5 linked regions of the Oryctolagus cuniculus genome follow. The protein of the gene in region 1 purifies or fractionates together with the protein of each later gene. This does not show direct contact. Links are inferred from orthologs where the notes say so. Each region holds a gene or a part of one and is shown on either strand. Other genes may lie near its edges.

Evidence for each region.
Region 2: the proteins of OTUB1 (region 1) and UBE2E3 purify together in Homo sapiens (affinity purification with mass spectrometry; 3 studies listed by BioGRID and IntAct, counting the BioPlex papers as one, with this or other methods). This does not show direct contact. The link is inferred for Oryctolagus cuniculus from reciprocal best matches to the Homo sapiens genes OTUB1 and UBE2E3.
Region 3: the proteins of OTUB1 (region 1) and SLC7A11 purify together in Homo sapiens (affinity purification with western blotting; 5 studies listed by BioGRID, with this or other methods). This does not show direct contact. The link is inferred for Oryctolagus cuniculus from reciprocal best matches to the Homo sapiens genes OTUB1 and SLC7A11.
Region 4: the proteins of OTUB1 (region 1) and FOXM1 purify together in Homo sapiens (affinity purification with western blotting; 4 studies listed by BioGRID, with this or other methods). This does not show direct contact. The link is inferred for Oryctolagus cuniculus from reciprocal best matches to the Homo sapiens genes OTUB1 and FOXM1.
Region 5: the proteins of OTUB1 (region 1) and UBE2E1 purify together in Homo sapiens (affinity purification with mass spectrometry; 4 studies listed by BioGRID and IntAct, with this or other methods). This does not show direct contact. The link is inferred for Oryctolagus cuniculus from reciprocal best matches to the Homo sapiens genes OTUB1 and UBE2E1.

What each region holds. Positions count from the first base shown.
Region 1 is NC_091432.1:7,239,755-7,243,947, reverse strand, and holds the start of OTUB1 (ubiquitin thioesterase OTUB1), read left to right. Parts: upstream 1-1,389; 5' UTR 1,390-1,530; coding exon 1,531-1,684; intron 1,685-2,265; coding exon 2,266-2,327; intron 2,328-2,526; coding exon 2,527-2,625; intron 2,626-4,193. UniProt on the Homo sapiens protein: Hydrolase that can specifically remove 'Lys-48'-linked conjugated ubiquitin from proteins and plays an important regulatory role at the level of protein turnover by preventing degradation.
Region 2 is NC_091434.1:59,872,589-59,876,101, forward strand, and holds part of UBE2E3 (ubiquitin-conjugating enzyme E2 E3), read right to left. Parts: intron 3,327-3,513; coding exon 3,194-3,326; intron 1-3,193. UniProt on the Homo sapiens protein: Accepts ubiquitin from the E1 complex and catalyzes its covalent attachment to other proteins. In vitro catalyzes 'Lys-11'- and 'Lys-48'-, as well as 'Lys-63'-linked polyubiquitination.
Region 3 is NC_091439.1:26,518,149-26,522,420, reverse strand, and holds the start of SLC7A11 (cystine/glutamate transporter), read right to left. Parts: upstream 2,808-4,272; 5' UTR 2,525-2,807; coding exon 2,248-2,524; intron 1-2,247. UniProt on the Homo sapiens protein: Heterodimer with SLC3A2, that functions as an antiporter by mediating the exchange of extracellular anionic L-cystine and intracellular L-glutamate across the cellular plasma membrane.
Region 4 is NC_091440.1:106,455,841-106,459,353, reverse strand, and holds part of FOXM1 (forkhead box protein M1), read right to left. Parts: intron 2,915-3,513; coding exon 2,870-2,914; intron 2,265-2,869; coding exon 2,192-2,264; intron 2,008-2,191; coding exon 1,832-2,007; intron 1-1,831. UniProt on the Homo sapiens protein: Transcription factor regulating the expression of cell cycle genes essential for DNA replication and mitosis. Plays a role in the control of cell proliferation. Also plays a role in DNA break repair, participating in the DNA damage checkpoint response.
Region 5 is NC_091435.1:159,783,419-159,786,931, reverse strand, and holds part of UBE2E1 (ubiquitin-conjugating enzyme E2 E1), read right to left. Parts: intron 197-3,513; coding exon 64-196; intron 1-63. UniProt on the Homo sapiens protein: Accepts ubiquitin from the E1 complex and catalyzes its covalent attachment to other proteins. Catalyzes the covalent attachment of ISG15 to other proteins. Mediates the selective degradation of short-lived and abnormal proteins.

The sequences.
Region 1 (4,193 bases):
GGGGCAGCAGGTCGCCAAAGCCACGGTGGGGACGGCGGTGCGGCCGGCTCCCGGTGCCCTCGCCAGCGCTCGGCACTGCAGCTGCAGCCGCCTGCAAGGGGTGCCGGCGCCCGCAGCTGGAGGAGCCTGCAGTGATTGTAGCTGAACTCGTCCTACGGGTCTCCATCACGCAGCCCGCAGTTCCAGCCCCAGAGAAAGCTGAGTCGGCTGCAGGAGGCTCGCGGCCACGCCGCGGAACTCGGGGGCTGGGAGAGCCGAGCACGCGGAGGCGCGGCTACGGGCGGCCGGCTCCCGAGGGGCCCCGCACCTGCGCCGCCGCGGCCACCGCCCGCGGGGACCCCGTTGCTAGGGCCGTTGCCAAGGAGGGGCCGCCAGGCGGGACTCGCTTCCGGGAGGAGGGCGGCTGTAACCCGGAAGCGCTCGGCGGTGCGGCGCTGTTTAAAGATGGCGGCGGAGGAACCTCAGCAGCAGAAGCAGGAGCCGCTGGGCAGCGACTCCGAAGGTGCGGACCGCGGGAGGGGTGTCCGGCCCGGGCCCGCGGCGGCAAGGCCGGGCCGGCTGTTCTCGGGGAAGGCGGCGGAGGCGGGGCGGCCGGGGCGGCCGCGACGCGCGGACGGCCGCTGCCTCCGCGCCTCCCTGCCCCCTCACAATGGAAGGCGCTCCCTCCGCGACCCCCGGCCGGGCGGGGCGGGCAGTCTCGCGGCCTGGCCGCCGGCGCGCGCCCGGGGCGGGGCCTGGGCCGCCCCGCCCTCCGCGCCGGGCTCCCGGGCCGGGGCCCCCGTCGGGCCGGCCGAGGCCTAGGCCCGGACCGCGGCGCCGGCGTTCGCTCACGGCCGAGAGGCGTCGAGCAGCGTGGAGGGCCGGCTCGGCCGGGTGCGGTGTTGTGGGCGGCGCTGGCCCCGGAGGGGCCGTGGGCGTCCGCCCCTTCGGACTTCGGCCGTTTCCGGTAGAGCCCCCTCTTCTGGCCTGGCCGCCTCTCTCCGCCCGCCCATTGTTTTCTTAGACCCCTGAGGACGTGGGTGCCTTGGAAGTGGCCCCACCCGCCTCCTTTTCCGTCCGGGCGCTGGGCCCCGGGGACCGAGCTGGGCATTGGGGGTGGGGGGTGGGGGTGGCGGCGGATGCAGAGCCGCGCAGGGCACGGGCCGGGGCCCAGCTGCGTTAACCCTGCAAGAAGTCGCTCAGCGCTCACCGGCACGGAGAACCGGCAAGCCCAGGCCCCAGCAGTGACTTGTTCAGGGTCACAGAATTTAAGAGCGAGCCAGGATCCGAATCCAGGTTTCGCGAGCCCTGCGCATGGGACTTCTGCAGAGAGGGGGCCCTGCTCCTAGAGCACGCCAAGGTACCCCCCCCCCCGATGCAGCACTTGGGGCGCCCGGGGCTCGGCGGCGAGGTGGCGGAGCAGAGCGGGGCTCGCTGGGCATTGGACACACGTGGGCGTGACCGCAGGTCTCTACTTGCCAGGATGACTTCACCCCTCTGCCTTTGTTTTGCTCTTTGGAAAATGGGCACCATCAGGGGTACCGTGGGAGGATGCGGAAGTGCAGGCCCCCAGGAAGCTCTGCCCGCAGCCCCCTGCTTTCCCCCCAGGAGACCTCGCCCTGCCCCCGAGCATTCCTGGGCAGGCCAGTGCTGATGGACAGCAGGGAGGAAGGCAGTGCCAGCTGGGACAGTGGACCCTGGGCCGGTGCCGGGCGGGACAGCGGACCCTGGGCCGGTGCTGGGCTGGGACAGTGGACCCTGGGCCGGTGCCGGGCGGGACAGTGGACCCTGGGCCGGTGCTGGGCTGGGACAGTGGACCCTGGGCCGGTGCCGGGCGGGACAGTGGACCCTGGGCCGGTGCCGGGCGGGACAGTGGACCCTGGGCCGGTGCCGGGCGGGACAGCGGACCCTGGGCCGGTGCCGGGCTGGGACAGCGGACCCTGGGCCGGTGCCGGGCTGGGACAGCGGACCCTGGGCCGGTGCCGGGCTGGGACAGCGGACCCTGGGCAGGTGCCGGGCTGGGACAGCGGACCCTGGGCCGGTGCTGGGCTGGGACAGCGGACCCTGGGCCGGTGCCGGGCGGGACAGCGGACCCTGGGCTGGTCGCCTCTTCCTCTCTTCCTCTCATTTTAAAGATGAGGAAGGATTTCTCCCAGTTGGGCACAGCTCGGGAGGAGAAGGGCGTGGGACGCCTGCCCCTGCCGCCAGCTGCGCATCCCTGGCCCAGCTGTCCGCAGCGGAGGGGCCAGGACGCCCAGTCATCCCCGGCTCCTCGGCCTCTTCCAGGTGTTAACTGTCTGGCCTACGATGAAGCCATCATGGCCCAGCAGGACCGGATTCAGCAAGAGGTGAGGGGCGTTCAGCGGGGGGGGCAGAGGCCGGTGACCCGGTCTTGGGCGAGGGCCGGCCGGTCTGAGTTGTCTCTCCCTCGGAGCGCCCTCCTCCTCGGGCTGGGCGGCACTGCACGGTGCTCTGTCCCGCGTTACTGGGTACCCAGCCCAGCCCTCTGCCCCTGCTCCAGCGTCCTGGCTGTGTTGCCCCCCGCAGATCGCAGTGCACAACCCCCTGGTGTCCGAACGGCTGGAACTCTCGGTCTTGTACAAGGAGTACGCGGAGGACGACAACATCTACCAACAGAAGATCAAGGTGGGCACCGGCCGCAGGGCCAGGACTGGGGCTTGCCGGGCCTGTGCCCTGGGGGGGGCGGTTCTGGAGGTGTGCCGGCTCTGGCCCAGAGACCTTGAGCCAGATGCAGGTCCCGCCCCTCAGCAGCGGTGTCCTGGGCAGGTCCTGAGGCCTGTGTGCGGCCAGGTGTGTGCTGGGCGGGGCCTCCCCACGGCTGAGGCTGCCCCTCAGCCCGCCTCCTGGATCTGCTGAGGTGGGTGGCTGTGGGTGTCACCAGCCAGGGCCAGCCCCTCCCCTCCCGCGTTCTGAGAGCAGAGCGTGACGGGTGTGGAGGTGTAGTGAACGTCTCCCCACAGTGAACCGGGGATGCTTGGAGCCTTCACCCGAGGAGAGGCCTGTGGGCGCAGGTGGCCTGGCCACGTGGACAGCGGGGCCCCCCTCCCGTCGTGGGCAGTGGCAGCCTTGCAGCGAGAGCGAGTGTCCGCCCCTCCTCTGCCCTGGGGCAGCTCCAGTTTGCCAAGGGGAGCCAGAAATAGTGAGGTCCCCCTGCGGCGGTGGGCAGCTGAGTAAGAGTCCACGTGTGGTCTGTGGTGGACACGTGGCCGTCCCTGGGGGGCCTGCGGGGAGGGGAGCCACGCTGCGGCAGCAGACCCCTGCGGCTTCCTGCTGCTGTCGGTCTCTGGGAGGAGGGGCCTTCTCCCTCGAGGGGCAGCTGCGGGCTGAGGGTGGTGCTGGCCAGCGCCCCGCAGCGCCAGTCCCGTGCGGAGGGGCGTGTCCCCGGGCCGCATCTCCAGGCTGCCTGTCCCACTGTCTCCCGTAGAAATCAACGGGGTGGGCTCCAGGTCACTCGGCATGTACTTGAGTGTCATAGGAAGTGATTGGGTGTTTAGGGCGGGTATTTGAGTGTCGTGGGAAGTGATTGGGTATTTAGGGTGCTCAGAGGCTCTGCTGGTATTGGATGTGGGTGAGGCCCAGATGGACACCGGGAAGCCTGGGTGGGGCGAGGCTGCGCGGTCACACCCCGGCCCTGTAGGCCAAGATGCCCGGGCTCTGAGGCAAGGGGGAGGTAGCTGGACGTGAGACTCAGCTGGAGTGGAGGGCGGACATCGCGTGGGTTTACATTTGGGGCTGTTGAACTTGGGCTCGATGCTGTCGTGAGCGTGAGCGTAGCTTGTTGCTGGAAGCCGCGTGGGGCACCTGCTGCACCATGCGTGGCCTGCGTTCCCTGGCAGGCGCCCGTGTGGGTATGTGAGGTGACCCAGGAATACTGAGGAAAGGTGCAGTGTGGTTTGGTGGTGGCCTTGACCTTCGGAGGGTGGAGGGGTGAGGAGGGTCTGCCTGGAGTTCAGGGGCGACAAGGACCCGTGGGGTCATTAAGGACCCGGACCTGGTGACCCCGGGGGCAGTGCTGCCCGGGGTTTGTGACCTTGGCTGGAGCAGGTGCCTCCTGTGTGGGAGAGCACGGGGACCGTGCACCTGGCCGCTTTCCAAAATTCTGCCGTAGAGAGGGAGAGGACTCGGGCTTCCGGCCTTCTGAAGTGAGGGCTGCCTGTGTGTCCCTGCGCAACCGGGACTGGCCGTGTGTCCCT
Region 2 (3,513 bases), on another chromosome or scaffold:
AAGAAAATACTAAAATTTCTCAGACGTATCTTTCTGAAAAGGGGGCAGTAGTTGAAAGGTGAGGACGGAAAGACAGGAATAGCTTACTGGTTCAGTGTGGGAAGAGGCGGAGCCTCTAGAACTGCTCTGTCCAATACAAAACCAACTAACTACATATGTGTGAATACACAACTTTTGAACTGGGGCTACCCAAAGCATCAAAGTATAAAATCAGATTTCAAAAACTTGGTGGCAAAAAGATGATGTAAAAGGCATCAGAAATAATACTGTACTTATGTGAAAATGACAGTGTTTTGGTACTTGGCTAACCAAAACAAATTATTATTAATTTTAGGGGTACTTGTTTGACCTAGCAGTAAAAATACCACTGAAGAAACCTGCATCCAGTATTTAAGTGCCTGGTTTAGTGTCCTGGCTCCATTTTAGGTTCTAGCTTTCTGATGTCGTGTACCCTGGAAGGCAGTAGGGGGCGGCTGATGTGGGTGGGTCCCTGCCATCCGCAGGGGACATTGAGTTCCCAGGTCCTAACTTCAGCTTGGCCCACACCTAGTTGTGAGCATTTGGGAGAGGGAGCCAACATATGGGAACTTGTTCTCTTATCTCTCAAAGTAAGTAAATAAAAATATAAGTTTATGGTCTCTTTTTCCATTTTTAACTGTGCCTACCTGAACATTTAAACTTCTATCTATAGTCTCTATTATAATTCTATTAGTGCTGCTCTATAAAATGAGGAATAATGTATATTCAGGTTATTGACACTCAATAGAGACACAGTGGTTTACAAATAAAATTAATATTTTGAAAATGTTCAGCTCTTAATAACTAGAGAACAAAAATACTATTCATGAACAGAAGAGAATTACATATTTATCATTCAACAAGTTCAACTTTTAACTTCAAAAAACAGGAACTAAACAGAAATAATTGTTCCAACAAGTTAATAGCAGAAACTTCGTTTGTTTCAAATGTCCAACATTTTTTTAGAACTTAGTGATGCCTAATTCTACATAAGTTATCTTAGCAAGAGGAGTAAACAGAAATTAAAGAATTAGAAAATTAAATTATAATTTCAAAAATTAATAAGCTGAATTTGAAAAGAACTGCATTAATCAAAATGATAAATCACACACAGAACAACTGTTTGAAACCCATGTTAGTCAACCCATTTTCCATTAAGTTGATAGGACAAATGTTAACAGTGTTATAATTCTGTATAAAATAAATCTTGCTTTTTTCCCCTAGTTTTGCTAACATGTTTAAAGCAATTCTAATATGGAACACTAGGCAGAGTTATCACTACTTATAAATACAGTTATAAGGTATTTCTAAAATTTCATTTGTTTTCCTGTAATACAGAGTACTTTTAGCATTATACTAACATTTAAAGGTGTTAATCAAATTAGGGTTTCGCCCTTTTAATTGATTCAGCAAGATGGATTCTATAGACCTGGAAACAGTAAAAAATATATTAACTTCAAGATCTTAGATTCTTTTTTTTTTTTTTGACAGGCAGAGTGGACAGTGAGAGAGAGACAGAGAGAGAGAAAGGTCTTCCTTTGCCGCTGGTTCACCCTCCAATGGCCGCCGCTGCAGCCGGCGCACTGCGCTGATCCTGGCAGGAGCCAGGAGCCAGGTGCTTTTCCTGGTCTCCCATGGGGTGCAGGGCCCAAGCACCTGGGCCATCCTCCACTGCACTCCCTGGCCATAGCAGAGAGCTGGCCTGGAAGAGGGGCAACCGGGACAGAATCCGGCGCCCCAACCGGGACTAGAACCCGGTTTGCCGGCGCCGCAAGGTGGAGGATTAGCCTATTGAGCCACGGCGCCGGCTGAGATCTTAGATTCTGATGGAACACATAGAAAAACACTCCAAAAATAATCTGGTAACTGTAACTGACAGTAAATATTTGTAGGGGATCCAGACCTTGGCATCTGCAACTTGAGGTAAATACCACTAGGTGGCACTGTTGTTACCTTATTATATAATGCTTTCCTGAGACAGAATCTTTCTTAAATCTTTACGTAATATTTATTATATATATTACACACACATGCATCAAGTTGCTACATAAATTGTAATTTTAAAAGATTTTATTTATTTGGAAGACAGAGACACACACACATAGGCAGAGTGATTTTCAATCTGCTAGTTCACTCCCTAAATATCCACAATAGCTGGGGCTTGCCCAATCTTATCCCAGGAGTCTGGAAATCAATCCAGATCTCCAACACGGGTAGCAGGGACCCAAGTACTTGGGCCATCATCTTCTGTTTCTGAGGGTGTACATTAGCAAGAAAGTTGAAAGTGGAGCTGAGACAAACCCAGCCACTCCAAAATGCGATGTGGGCGTACCACGCAGCATCTTTACAACTGTGTCAAATGCTTCCCCCTCTACATAAACCTTAAATAGTATAGGGCATAAGAGGAATAATGTAGCAGCTAAGGGCTATAGGCTTGCTAACACACTTTTCCCCCTGGCATGTTGAACGTCTCTGGAATAAAAGTACAATTGTGTTCTGATTTCGTTCTGGCATTTTTTTTTTTTTTTATATAGCTTGACAGGTAAAAGGAAGGAAGCCATTCACATGAGTGTCTTGTTTAAGTTTTGTAAACTAATTATGTTACGTTTAAGTCTGGTAAACTGACAGTTATGACAAGGCACAACTTAATGCTTCTCTTTGTTAGCCATGTAATTCATATTTCAAGTGAATGAAGCACTAACAGGCAGAAACCACCCCCGGTCATCCTCCACTTCCAGTACAAGGTCATACCCACGCAGCCACATTACTAGTTTCCTGTGTATCTGTTGTAGTTTCCCAGGTTTTTGCTTATCTATGAAGGATTTCGCATAAAACTCACACTAAACTCTCATTTCTGCAAACTGTCAGTTTTTTGTCCCAGTATGTTTCTTAGAGAAGGTTCACCGAATATTTTCCCTCAGAAGTTCAAAATGTATCTGCCTCACTGATATGCAAAGTATAGTTTTATTTACAATTAACAATTCACCTTCCTTCTGTTGATCACAAAATTATTTGTAAGACTCAATTACTTTCAGTTTTAAAATTCTTTCATGTGAGATTCCACATAAATTCATGAAAAATAATGAAATAAAATGCAACCAGAATACAAGCAAGTCCTAGAATTAATGATTTCAGAGAAGAATGAATATTAAAGAATATACTTATATGTTCTTACCTTTGGTGGTTTAAATGGATAATCTGATGAAAATGTGATATCCAGAAAAAACACACCACCTTCATATACAGAACCTGGTGGACCAAGTATAGTTGATCTCCACTCATAAATGTTATCTCCTTTAGGCCCAGCACTATTTAAAAGAAATTAAAAATCAATATATACATCTGCAAATATACATGCTAACATCTTAAAACCAGTAAAGTATTAAAGGTAAATTGGTAAGAGCAACAAAGAATGAGATTAAGTATTAAAAAAAAAAAAAGCAATAAGCCCTAATGTGCTCAGGCATATGTATAAAAACCTATTTTAAAATATCT
Region 3 (4,272 bases), on another chromosome or scaffold:
TACAGACACTCCTCCACTTATGATGGGGTTATCTCCTGATAAATCCAGTGTAAGTTGAAAATGACATATATGAACTTTGCATTTAATGCCCCTAACACGCTGAACATGACAGCTTAGCCTAGTTCATCTTAAATATGCTCAGAATACTCACAATAGCCTACAGTTGGGCAAAGTCATCTAACACAAAATCTGTTTTATAATAAAGTATTGAACAGTGTGGATGATTTATTGGATAAGTTATTATTATTATTATACACCACTGTGAAATCATAAATCAAACGATCTTGAGTTAGGGACTGTTTGTACACAGATTCTTTACTTTTAGTCCCAGAAAAAAATGTTTTCCTTACATTTGCTTTGCTTCCTGTTAGGGAGGTGCTCCTGTCAAAAGGCTCCTAGTACTTTAAGTGACAAAGTCAATGCAAATACAGAGAAGTAGATTAATACAAGAGCACACTCCCTCCCTGCAATTAGTAATCAAAAAATACCAACTCACATGTGACTTTGGCTTGTTTTCTCTGAGTTACTGCTCTAAATGACATACTAATGCATTACCATGTTGTCATAGTGCCAAGTCAACATCACTTTTACCAGTTGAATACTCAGAGTAGTCTAGTTTGTTACATCTCAATAAGTTTTTGTATGTGCAAGAATGGAATCACATTATGAAAAATGCATATACATAAGTATGCAAAGTCCAGGAAACTGGCTGTGGTTTTTCTGATCAAATATTGATTTATTCTGAACAGCCCAAGTACTGCAAGAAGATTCAAGGCTGAGGGTGCACAGAGTCTTTATGAAGATAAACAATTAGGTTTCTCTTTATTTATAACTGTATATGAAGAACTATTTTAATATTAATCACAGCCAAGGGTTCTGTCAGTTTGCCATAATCAGACTACTTCAAGGTATTCTATAAGGATGGAGAGTAACACTTGGAAAACAATGACACACAATATTACTGAATATTTTATAAAACACAAACTCTTCACATAAATAATGCTACAAACTCTTTCTGAAAACCTAAAAATATTTTTGACACTGACTTTGTTTTAACAGATTTTACTTAAAATACTTTCCTCCTAAAAATATAAGCCTGCCGATGACTGCCCAAAGCAATGGATTAAAATATCACAAGATTCAAATAGAAAGACTGAATGTATGGGTACCTATTGGACTAAGAGTTAGTACTTGGTCCTAGAATTAGGAAAAGATCAATAACTTCAAAGCGTAGTAACTTTCAAAATCAAAACAATCTATTTCAGAGATGAGCAAATAATCTTAGGCATTCACTGCATAGCATAAATCAAGTTAATTTTTGATAACTGCAGTTTTTGTAACATTTCCAACTAACTCAGGTAACTTTCTAGCAATCTGCCAATGATATGAAGCATCATTTATTACTTCTGTATCATTAACTCATAAATCAATAGGAGAGACATGAATCTTGAAAAAAAAATCATACTTCTTTGACCACTTCTCTTTAAATTAACTCGGTGAACAGGTAGACAAATTACTTGATTTCCTGGAAACTAAGTGAAACACAGACGAAGAGAACAGACCCAGCCAGGCACAACAAGCTAACAGCCAAGGAAGTTTTAAAACTTGCATTGCAGAAGGTGAGAAGTGTTAAGGAGAGATAAAGGTTGAAAAATATTTGAAGTATGTTCAGGACATTGCCACATTCCCACGGATGAGAGAGACTGAGTTAAGGGTCTGCATGCATCTTTCCATGTCACTGACTTTTGAAAGAATATCAGGAATTGACAAGCAGATGAACTTAGAAGGAAGAGACTGCTGCCCATTTGTTTTGCTAATCAGAAGTCAGTGAGACTCAAGCTGAATGCTCAGTTCTGGGTCTGAATAGGCCACTCCGGGTTTTGCCTCACAGGTGTCTCATTCAGTGTGCCAGCTGCCTGAATGCCCCCACCAGATGTAACTAAGCACAACAGCCAGGAGAGAAAGCATGCATGCATTTTCCTAGGTCATCAAAGTTTGCCTATGCGCACATCACCACGGGGAAAGTCAGAAAATAGTCTGTCTGAGTCAGGAAAAGACAGCATAGCCTGCAGGAAGCAATTTGGGGCAACTTAGGATCAGAACAACAGTGAGCATTCTGTTGCAGCATTTCACATACCTCAACAAAAATCAAATAATGAGGAACAGGCTTTGCCGTTCCTTCACTCCTCAAAGTTAGCAGATTGCAAACTTCCCAGCCACACCTCCCAGGAAAGAAGTCGTACTCACCGAACAGGGACAGGACTCCGCAGAGCGTCCAGACAACCAGAGACATGCCCACGGTGCCGGTGTTGCGCAGCACACCCTTGGGGGAGATGAAGATTCCTGCGCCGATGATGGTGCCAATGATAATGGAGATTCCCCTCAGTAAGGTGATTTTCTTCTTGAGCACCACTTTCTCCTGCCCAGGGGGCTCCTTGCCACCCATGGAAGGCAGCCTCCCGTTCACGTTTCCCTGCAGGTAACTCCTTTTGGAGATGGTGGACACAACAGGTTTTCTGACCATAGTAGTGATACCAGGGCAAAAAGACAACACAGGAAAAGAAAACCAAAACTTTCAACTTCAGTGTCTCTTGGTGTGACTGATCTCCTCCTCTTTGCGTTCAGATTGTCTCTCTCAACGCTATTACGAACACAGGTAGAAACTCAGAGGTGTATTTTATCCTTCCCAGCTATCTAATTACTACTCAGAAACACCTGTGTGTTCATGGTGCCCTCAGTTCTCCACCTCCTCGCACTACCACTGTTGCTGCAGCGGCTGCTGCCCTATCATTACAAACCAGCTCAGCTTCCTCGTGGGCTTGTATTTAAGCTCTTGCCTGTCACACCAACTTACTCCGGCTACATGATGATGCAAATTCTCCAGGTTTGCATCAGCCACATGAGAAGGCTCCAGCATTACTCAGCTTTTTTTTTTTTTTTTTTAACAGTAGCAGCATGTTGCTCAACTGACATAAGCCTTTCAGAGAACAAAGCACGCACTTAAAAGGCAGCTGCACCAATCCCAAAGTAGTAAATTCAGAACAGACCTTCAGAGAGATTGAAAGCAACTCCTAGTGAGGGGCAAAAGCTCTTCACGCCGAAACAAAATGAAAAATGAAACAGGAAATGATCTCTTCATTGTAAGGGAGTTTCTTTTTTTCCTAAACTCACAAGTAAAAATATTTAACAGGCAACTTTTTTGGTGACAGAATGCACTGCAGAGCTAGACTATTTGCAACAAGCATTTTTAGATTTCATATTTGTATCATACTTATTTTCACTTTTTCCCGTTTGAGATTCCTAGCAACACAGTTAAATCTAATATTTACAAAGCTAAAACGATCTTCACTCTTACTTGCTGCAACACACCTAACAACTATGAGTCTGACTCACATTAAAGATAAAATTATTTCTTATGACTCATGGTCAATCAGTATTTAAAATCACACTCAAATGAGTGTGGCAAATTTAAAAATCACAGTGACTCTGGAAAATAGATATACTAGGTGATTTCCTGGACTAAGTGGAAGAAATTTATTTCCTATTTGCACCTTATTCCATCAAATTATCAAAAAATTCTAATTTCAAATTTAAGCAATGATTGCAATGACATAGAATCAGATACATAGCAAAAACCTGAAAATGAACTCATAGAATAGTTGTAGAAAGGCAATTATACATTAGATTTATTCTGAATTACATGAACTATTATTATAAATGCTTTTACATTTCCAATGCATTACAAATGGAACCTGAGATTAAAATGCTTACTTTGAAAAAATCAAAAGGCACAACATTTTTAAGCCCTTCCAACTTTCTTGCCCAAGCATCTGAAAACCAAGTACAAAAGGAAAAGAACTCTAGATATCATTTTTGGCGATGGTTGTATGTGGTTGCAGGTTCAGTGAGAAGGGGATGGGAGCTCCCACTGTGGCATAGCGGGTAAGGCTGCCACCTGCAGTGCCAGCATCCCATATGGGTGCCAGTTCCAGTTCCGGCCGCTCCACTTCTGATCCAGCTCTCTGCTATGGCCTGGGAAAGCAGTAGAAGATGGCCCAAGTCCTTGGGCCCCTGCATCATTGTGGGAAACCTGGAAGAAGCTTCGGCTGTTGCAGCCATTTGCAGAGTGAACCAGAAGATAGAAGACCTCTCTCTCTTGGCCGCGCCATGGCTCACTAGACTAATCCTCCGACTGCGGCATAGGCATCCCAGGTTCTAGTCCCAGTCGGGGCACCGGTTCTGTCCCGGTTGCTCCTCTTCCAGTCCAGCTCT
Region 4 (3,513 bases), on another chromosome or scaffold:
TCCACTTCCGATCCAGCTCTCTGCTGTGGCCTGGGAAAGCAGTGGAAGATGTTCTTGGCCCTCTGCACCCACAAGGGAGACCCAGAAGAAGCTCCTGGCTCCTGGTTTTGGATCGGCTCAGCTCCGGTTGTTGCAGCCATTTGGGGAGTGAACCAGCGGATGGAAAACCTCTCTCTCTCTCCCTCTCTCTGCAACTCTGTCTTTCAAATAAATATAAATAAATCTTTAAAAAATTTAATTAAAAAAATTTAAGCATATAAAAGAGCTTTGGGGCTGATACTGTGGCGTAGTGGGTAAAGCTGCTGCCTGCACAATCAGCATCCCATATGGGTGCCGGTTCGAGTCCTAGCTGCTCCGCTTCTGATCCAGCTCTCTGCTGTGGCCTGGAAAGCAATGGAAGATGGCCCAAGTCCTTGGGCTCCTGCACTCATGTGGGAGACCTGGAAGAAGCTCCTGACTCCTGCTTTTGGATCAGCCCAGCTCCAGCTATTGTGGCCACTTGGGGAGTGAAGCAGCAGATGGAAGACCTCTCTTTCTTTCTCTGCCTCTGTAACTCTGCTTTTTAAATAGATAGATAAATCTTAAAACAAACAAAAAAACCAAAAAACAACCAGTCACGAATGTTGCGGACATTTGGGGGGGGTGAATCAGCAGATGGAAGTTCTATCTCTTTCTTTATTTCTCAGCCTTTCAAATAAAATTAAAAAAAAATTTTCAAAAAGTTTGTGGGAAACTGGAATTTAAAAATGCAAAATTTCCAGGAATTTTGAAACTTCTTTGTAACACACAAAATTTTATTTATATATGAATTCCCAAATGCCTACAATAGCTAGGTCAGGCTGAAGCCAGGAGCCCAGACCTCTATCCAGGTCTCCTACATGGAAGACAGGCACCCAAGTACGTGAGTCGTCGTCCACTGCCTCCCAGGGTGCGTATTAGCAGGAAGCTGGATTGGAAGTGGAGGAGCCGGGACTGGAAACAGGCACTCGATATGGGCTGTGGTCCTCAAGTGGCAGCTTAACATCCTGCGCCACAATGCCTGCCCCTAAAAATATTTCTAAATTAGAAGAATAAAAACAAACCCAAATCTCTCTAAGCTTTAGTTTAGGTTATCTCCATCTCACTGAATGGGGTGCAGTGGTTCTCCCACAAACAGTTGTCCTTGCCGGGTTAAGACAAGACTCGGTGGCCCTCCTGGTGTGGTCTTAGCTCACCCTTCCCACATTCCCAGGCTGGACCAGTGATGTTCAACTGGGGACAGCTTCCCCTCCCCACAGACATTCTGCAATGTCATGCCTTGAGGGTTGGGGGGGGAGTGCATGTGTGATACTGGCTTCTAGTAGGTAGGACAACAGACCCATAGACAATACCCCTCCAAACTGACAAAGACTAACTCAGCCCCAGGTGTCAGTAAGGCTGAGGCTGAGAAATGCTGAGACTGACTGATTCACTCTGCCACTCCCAGGTACGCACCGGCATCTCCTGCTTCCAGGGCACTGCCCACGAGGATGCTCTCTCCAAACTTGTCTGTTCACCCAGACTCACTTCTTCCTCAAACGTGCCTCCTTGTATTTCCTCAGCCACCTCAGCCCACATATCACAACCACCCTTGTCTGAATTTTTAAAAACTCATCAAGTATTCATGGGCCTCCTGACACCATTTACGTTGTAATCCAAATCCCTTTTTAGCTCTTACCACGCTACCACATTTTCTTGTGTCTTTATGGTTGTCTACCCAGCTAGATTCATCAGCTTCCAAGGACCATTTAGCACAGTGATTCACAAGCTATAGGTCCAGGACTTCTAATGGAGAGAGAGAGAAGACGCTCACCTTGGGGGCAATGCGTACTCGCTTGCTATGGCGGGCGAGCTCTGAGCTCATGAGCGAAGCTGCCAGGGGCAATGGCACCTTCACTGAGGGCTGCAGCACCAGTGACTGGTTCACTGGGAACTGGATGGGCACCAGGTAGGAGCTGACTCGTGGTAGCAGTGGCTTCATCTTCCGCCCTAGGAGGAAACCAGAGAGATAAGAGCAGGGGGACAGAGGCCCACCCCTTCTCAGTCCCAGGAGCTTTGCTCTCCTCTGGGCTCAGATCCCTTTGAGCTGGGAACAGAATCCCGGAGTCTTGATCCACTACAGATATGCCCCCAGAACAAGGCCTAGGCCTGAGGCCCACTCTCCCATACTAACGTGCGCCCAGTGGGAGTTCAGTTTTGATGGTCACGTTCCGGCGGAGCTCAGCATTGGGTCGTTTCTGCTGCTGCTTGTGGCGGGTAGGGAGAGAAAGAAACCTAGGTTAATAAGGGAAGGGGGAAGCAGAACCCCACCAGCCTGAGCTGGTGCACTTGAGCTAACCAACAGCCCAGAAAGAAAAAGCCAAGTCGAAGGTATGGATACAGGTGGGCACAATCTCTAAGGCCCTGGTAAGCAGACAGGTGGACAGCATTCGATGGCAGGACAGCACTGCCATCTCACCCACTTGTCCTCACCACCCCGAGGGATGCCAAGCACGTAGCCATGTGAGTGGCAGAGAAAAGCCAGGGAGAAAAGTGAGAAAACTGTCCGCTTCCTGGAGCCATGTGCCATGCGTCTGCCACTGCTGTGGCATGTTCTCCTGCTGTGCCGTGCCCTGCCCTGCACAGCACACCTTGGTGATGCCTGTGGGAAGAGGAGGAGAGGCAGACCCGTGGCCAGCAGCCTGGTGTCCCTCACTTCCAGCAGCTGTAAGGTGCTCTGAGGTCGGGCACAGCGGTTGCACAGCCGTGGACCGCCTTCCCCGCCTCGTGTCTTCTCTCTGTTCACGAAAGCCATGCTGAGCAGTGAAAGGAAAACAAGACAAAGCCCCGAGCCAGAGGGAAAGAACCTTACTGATTCCAAGTGCTCGGGCGATTGTGGAGACCCTGGGTCCAGTGGCTGGTGGCGGCCAGGCATCAGGGGAGAGAAATGACATGAAGTTACCACCAACCAGGCTGGGAAGAACACCTGTTCCTGATTGATGCTGAGACATCGGACGCCTGGGGCCCCCAAGAGAATGCAGGTACAGCAGCCTAAAGGGCACCCTGAAATCCCACAACAAAAAGTTCTGGGGCCTCTGCTTCCTGTCTCGGGCCTAAAGGGCTTTACTTCAAGTTTCCCAGGGTTTCTCTGTAGCAACCACCTGAGACACTTGTTTAAAAATGCAAATTTCTAGGCCCATGCCAGGCCCGCTGAATGAGCAGCCCTGCGAAACGGGTCTGGAAAACTGTAATTTAACAGATGTCCCAGGCAATTCTTATTCGCAGTCTTGGGAAATCCTCAATTTTGGGTCACAACAGCGCTCTCTGTGCCGTGGCCTAGCCTAGAAGTGTGTCATTCAGTATTTCTCAACTGTACTTAATTCAGCGAGTTTTACGCAAGTCACCGTCTGGCCGGCCTTCACTCCCCCGATCACATGGAAGCATCGCAAAGAGAACTCGTTTCCTTCCGAGATGGCCGGGACAACCTCCACCTCTGGCCCTGTTTAGAGGACACCA
Region 5 (3,513 bases), on another chromosome or scaffold:
AAAACCCTCACTAGGCTCCTATGGGAACTAGCAAATCTAACATAAATCAGGGGAATTCCTTACCTTGGGAGGCTTGAAGGGATATTCTGGTGTAAAAGTAATATCGAGAAAGAAGACGCCACCTTCGTACACAGATCCTGGAGGCCCTAGAATGGTGGATCTCCACTCATAGATGTTATCACCTTTGGGGCCAGCGCTGAAAAGAACACATCAACAGCTAAGCAGACGGTGGCATCACCCGACTCTCATACTGTATCAAAAAAGGGGAGCGAGAACCCCCTCCCCCACCTTTCTATCAAATGTGTAACTTTTCTTCAGAAAACAGAAGTATCTTTCTGATGCAGAAACTATAGCAAACATCAGCCTCGGGGCAAGTCAACTGGATGATTCAAGAATGTTAAAGTCATTCCAAGTTTACTTAGCTCTTAATAAGCAGGAAATGTTACTCAATTCTCAAACCTCTCCTTGCCACAGAACAAAGTGTAAATACTTAAACACCTTAGCACATACAGACAAACGACAGCAGTTTGAAGCGCAAAAGTTTCGTTTTCTGACACACTGGCTGTTTTCCTCCCTCGCTCTTGTATCTCAATAATCTTACCCTAAAAAGATCCAAAAGACGGCCACGCTTTTTTCTCATAAACCAAAACTATGCTGGGTGGGAAGAGAATGATGGCAAGTTATCCAGTTTTAATTTCAAGATCAAATCCTGTTACTGGGTTCTCTATTACGGTGAGGACACTAATGTCTGTTACTCTTGGTTACACCACGCTCTGACCACAGAACCCTTCCACAGCATTCTCTTGGCTTCCAGGGCACTTTGTACTGAAGCGTATATGTAATTTTTTAAAGATTTGACAGACGCCTTCATTCTGCTGGTTCCTCCCCACCTGCTCACCACAGCCAGGGCTGAGCTGCAAGGTCAGTCCAGGTCTCCACACGGGCGGCAGGGGCCCAGGGTCTTGCGCCTTCACCTGCTGCTTCCCCAGGGACTACAGGAAGCTGAGCCGAGTGGGGACTCAGACCCACTCTGACACGGAATGTGTGCATCCCACGTAGCAGCTCAACCGCCACGCCAAACAACCCACCTCCCACATATATGAAGTTTTAACAAATTTTATCCTAATTCTAGAAATTATTGAAGAGCTTAATTTAGCTTCCCAAACCAGTAAGTGCAGTACTATGGTCCTAAAAAGTGAAGGGGGAAAGGACGAAACTCTCAGGAAGCGGGCTGCCTCCCCACAGCACGGCTGAGCAGGGGCGGTGACAGAGTGCCCGACGCACCTGGAACTGCTCCCAGAGCAGTGCTGTGTGCGCGGAGAGGATGGCAGAAACCCAGCCAACACTCGCCCCACTCCTGCGGGGCAGGCAGCACGGCTCTCTCAATGACCATGAACGGAAAGCTGTGTGCTAGGCGGGTGAGGGGTTTTGACACTGGACAAGAGCCGGTTTTGACACCTTCATTTAAGAGAGAGGAGATGAGGAGTAGAGGAGTAAGAAGGCTACAGGTGAGCTCTGCTTTCCCCAGCTCCACCATGGGGTAGGAGTAGCCACAGCTAAACACAGGTTATGGGAACGTGCTTACAAAAACCCAGGGAAGCAGGACTTGGGGAGGAGTCATGGGTGAAGAAAAGGCCCCGACGGGGAGTGGGCACAGGCAGTGAGTTAGCTGTGTGTGCCCGAGAGCCCACTGTCGCCCTAAACCCACGTTCACACACCTGCCTCACAGGAATGGCTTAGGAATTAAGTAACTGAGGAAGAGCCCTGTGGAGCCCGTGGCAGCGAGCAGCACTGGTAATGATTCCCATTGGCTCTGACGATATGGCCCTTTAAACTCCGCGATGGGTGTTCCCAAGAACTATGAAAAACTTGTCTTCAACTGAACACATGAGCACACGGGGAGATCACTTACCACTGCCGACACTATGGAGTCACAGGTGCGTGTACTTGGCAGTGGACTGTGATTTTCACCGGGTGCAATGCAGGGAGCGCTCTTAGCCCTCTGTCCCTCTAAGAACGCGCAGTAACCCTGCCAGTGAAAGGCTCCGATTCCTGCTGCTTCATCTCCCGGGAGCAGACCTGGTCCCTGGTCACTTAAAACCTACCCGCCCACGTGTTTGAGTTGCTCTAATGTGATGCTGTTGGGAGGAGGTGGGCCACTGGGGCTCATCAATGACATCTTCATGAACGGGATCAGTGTCCTAAGAGACCCCCCCCTCCCAGCTTTCTTCCATCAAGTGAGGGCACAGCAAGCAGACACTGGATGGGCACTCGGACGCAGGCCCTGGCCAGACACAGCAGCACCATGGCTTTAGATTCCCCCCTCGGGAACTGATACATTTCTGCTGCTTGTAAGCCACCAGCTGATGGTATAGCCTTACTAGAACAGGCAGACTCTGCAGACGCTGGCCAGTAATGGCTGTGACTTCACCAGACTGCAGCTGGCTGAGATGTGGACTGAGAAGAGGAAGGTAACACTGACACACAGGTGCAGGACAAGATGAGTAATCTCTTACCTAGTCAGGAAGACAAAGGTAAAAGGCTACTACTCTCAACTCTCCATACTTCCATCTACTCTAAACGCCTCTCTACAGACCAGGAACCAGGCCTCAAAGTGTAGTACTGACACTATTCCCAGCGCCTGCTAAAGCCATACTGTTTTGGCCAGGTCCGGCTCCATGAGGCTATGAGACTGACTGACCTAGAGAAACAAGAGTGAGGTTAGTCTAACCTAGAGGTGACATCAGCTTTGCCTACTTCTCCCAGCCCCTTAAATAACAGAGAAGAGGTGCTCAACAGTGTGCCGGCTTGAGTAGATTATGTGAACTGTAAAGAAAACGGGGTCCCCAAATTCCACTGTGCATCAAAATTATCTATATAACTAAAAATGAAGACTCTTAGATTACTCCCCAGGCTGCATGAGTTAGAATGTCTACAGCAGGACCCCAAAATCTACACGTTCAAACAGCTCCCCCTGCTGAGTGGTAAACAGTTGATTTGCATTGGGAACCACGGGTCCAGGCTGCTGGAAATGGGAGAACCAGTTAGGAACAGGGGCTTTGAGATTCTCAGTGCATCCCCTGCGGTCCTAACTACAGCTCCAGATGAAGATTCCTGCTTTGCAGCCTGCCTTCTGTGTGTGTACACACTTCCCTGAAGGTTCAGAAAAGGCGCAAGGAATCCAATCAAGAACATTACAATCCAATCAACAGTTAATAATAAGGAAAAAGTTGTTACATTTCTGCTAAACAAGTGCACAGAGTAGCTACAATAATCAAGAACATAACAGAGACCCTGAAAAGTCTCGGGGGGGGGGGGGGTGTCCCTGGCCTGGGGTCTCAGCAATCACCATGAAAGGTCTGAGAAACCCCTAAGAAAGACCACCCATTGTTGCCTGAATGTTTGAGGAATTCACTGTCACTGGGGGAGTGCATGTGCATTTTATAGAGAAAAATAAAACAAAAACGATGACACAGTGGCATCCACAGTTTTCATCTTTTTTTCCCCTTCTAA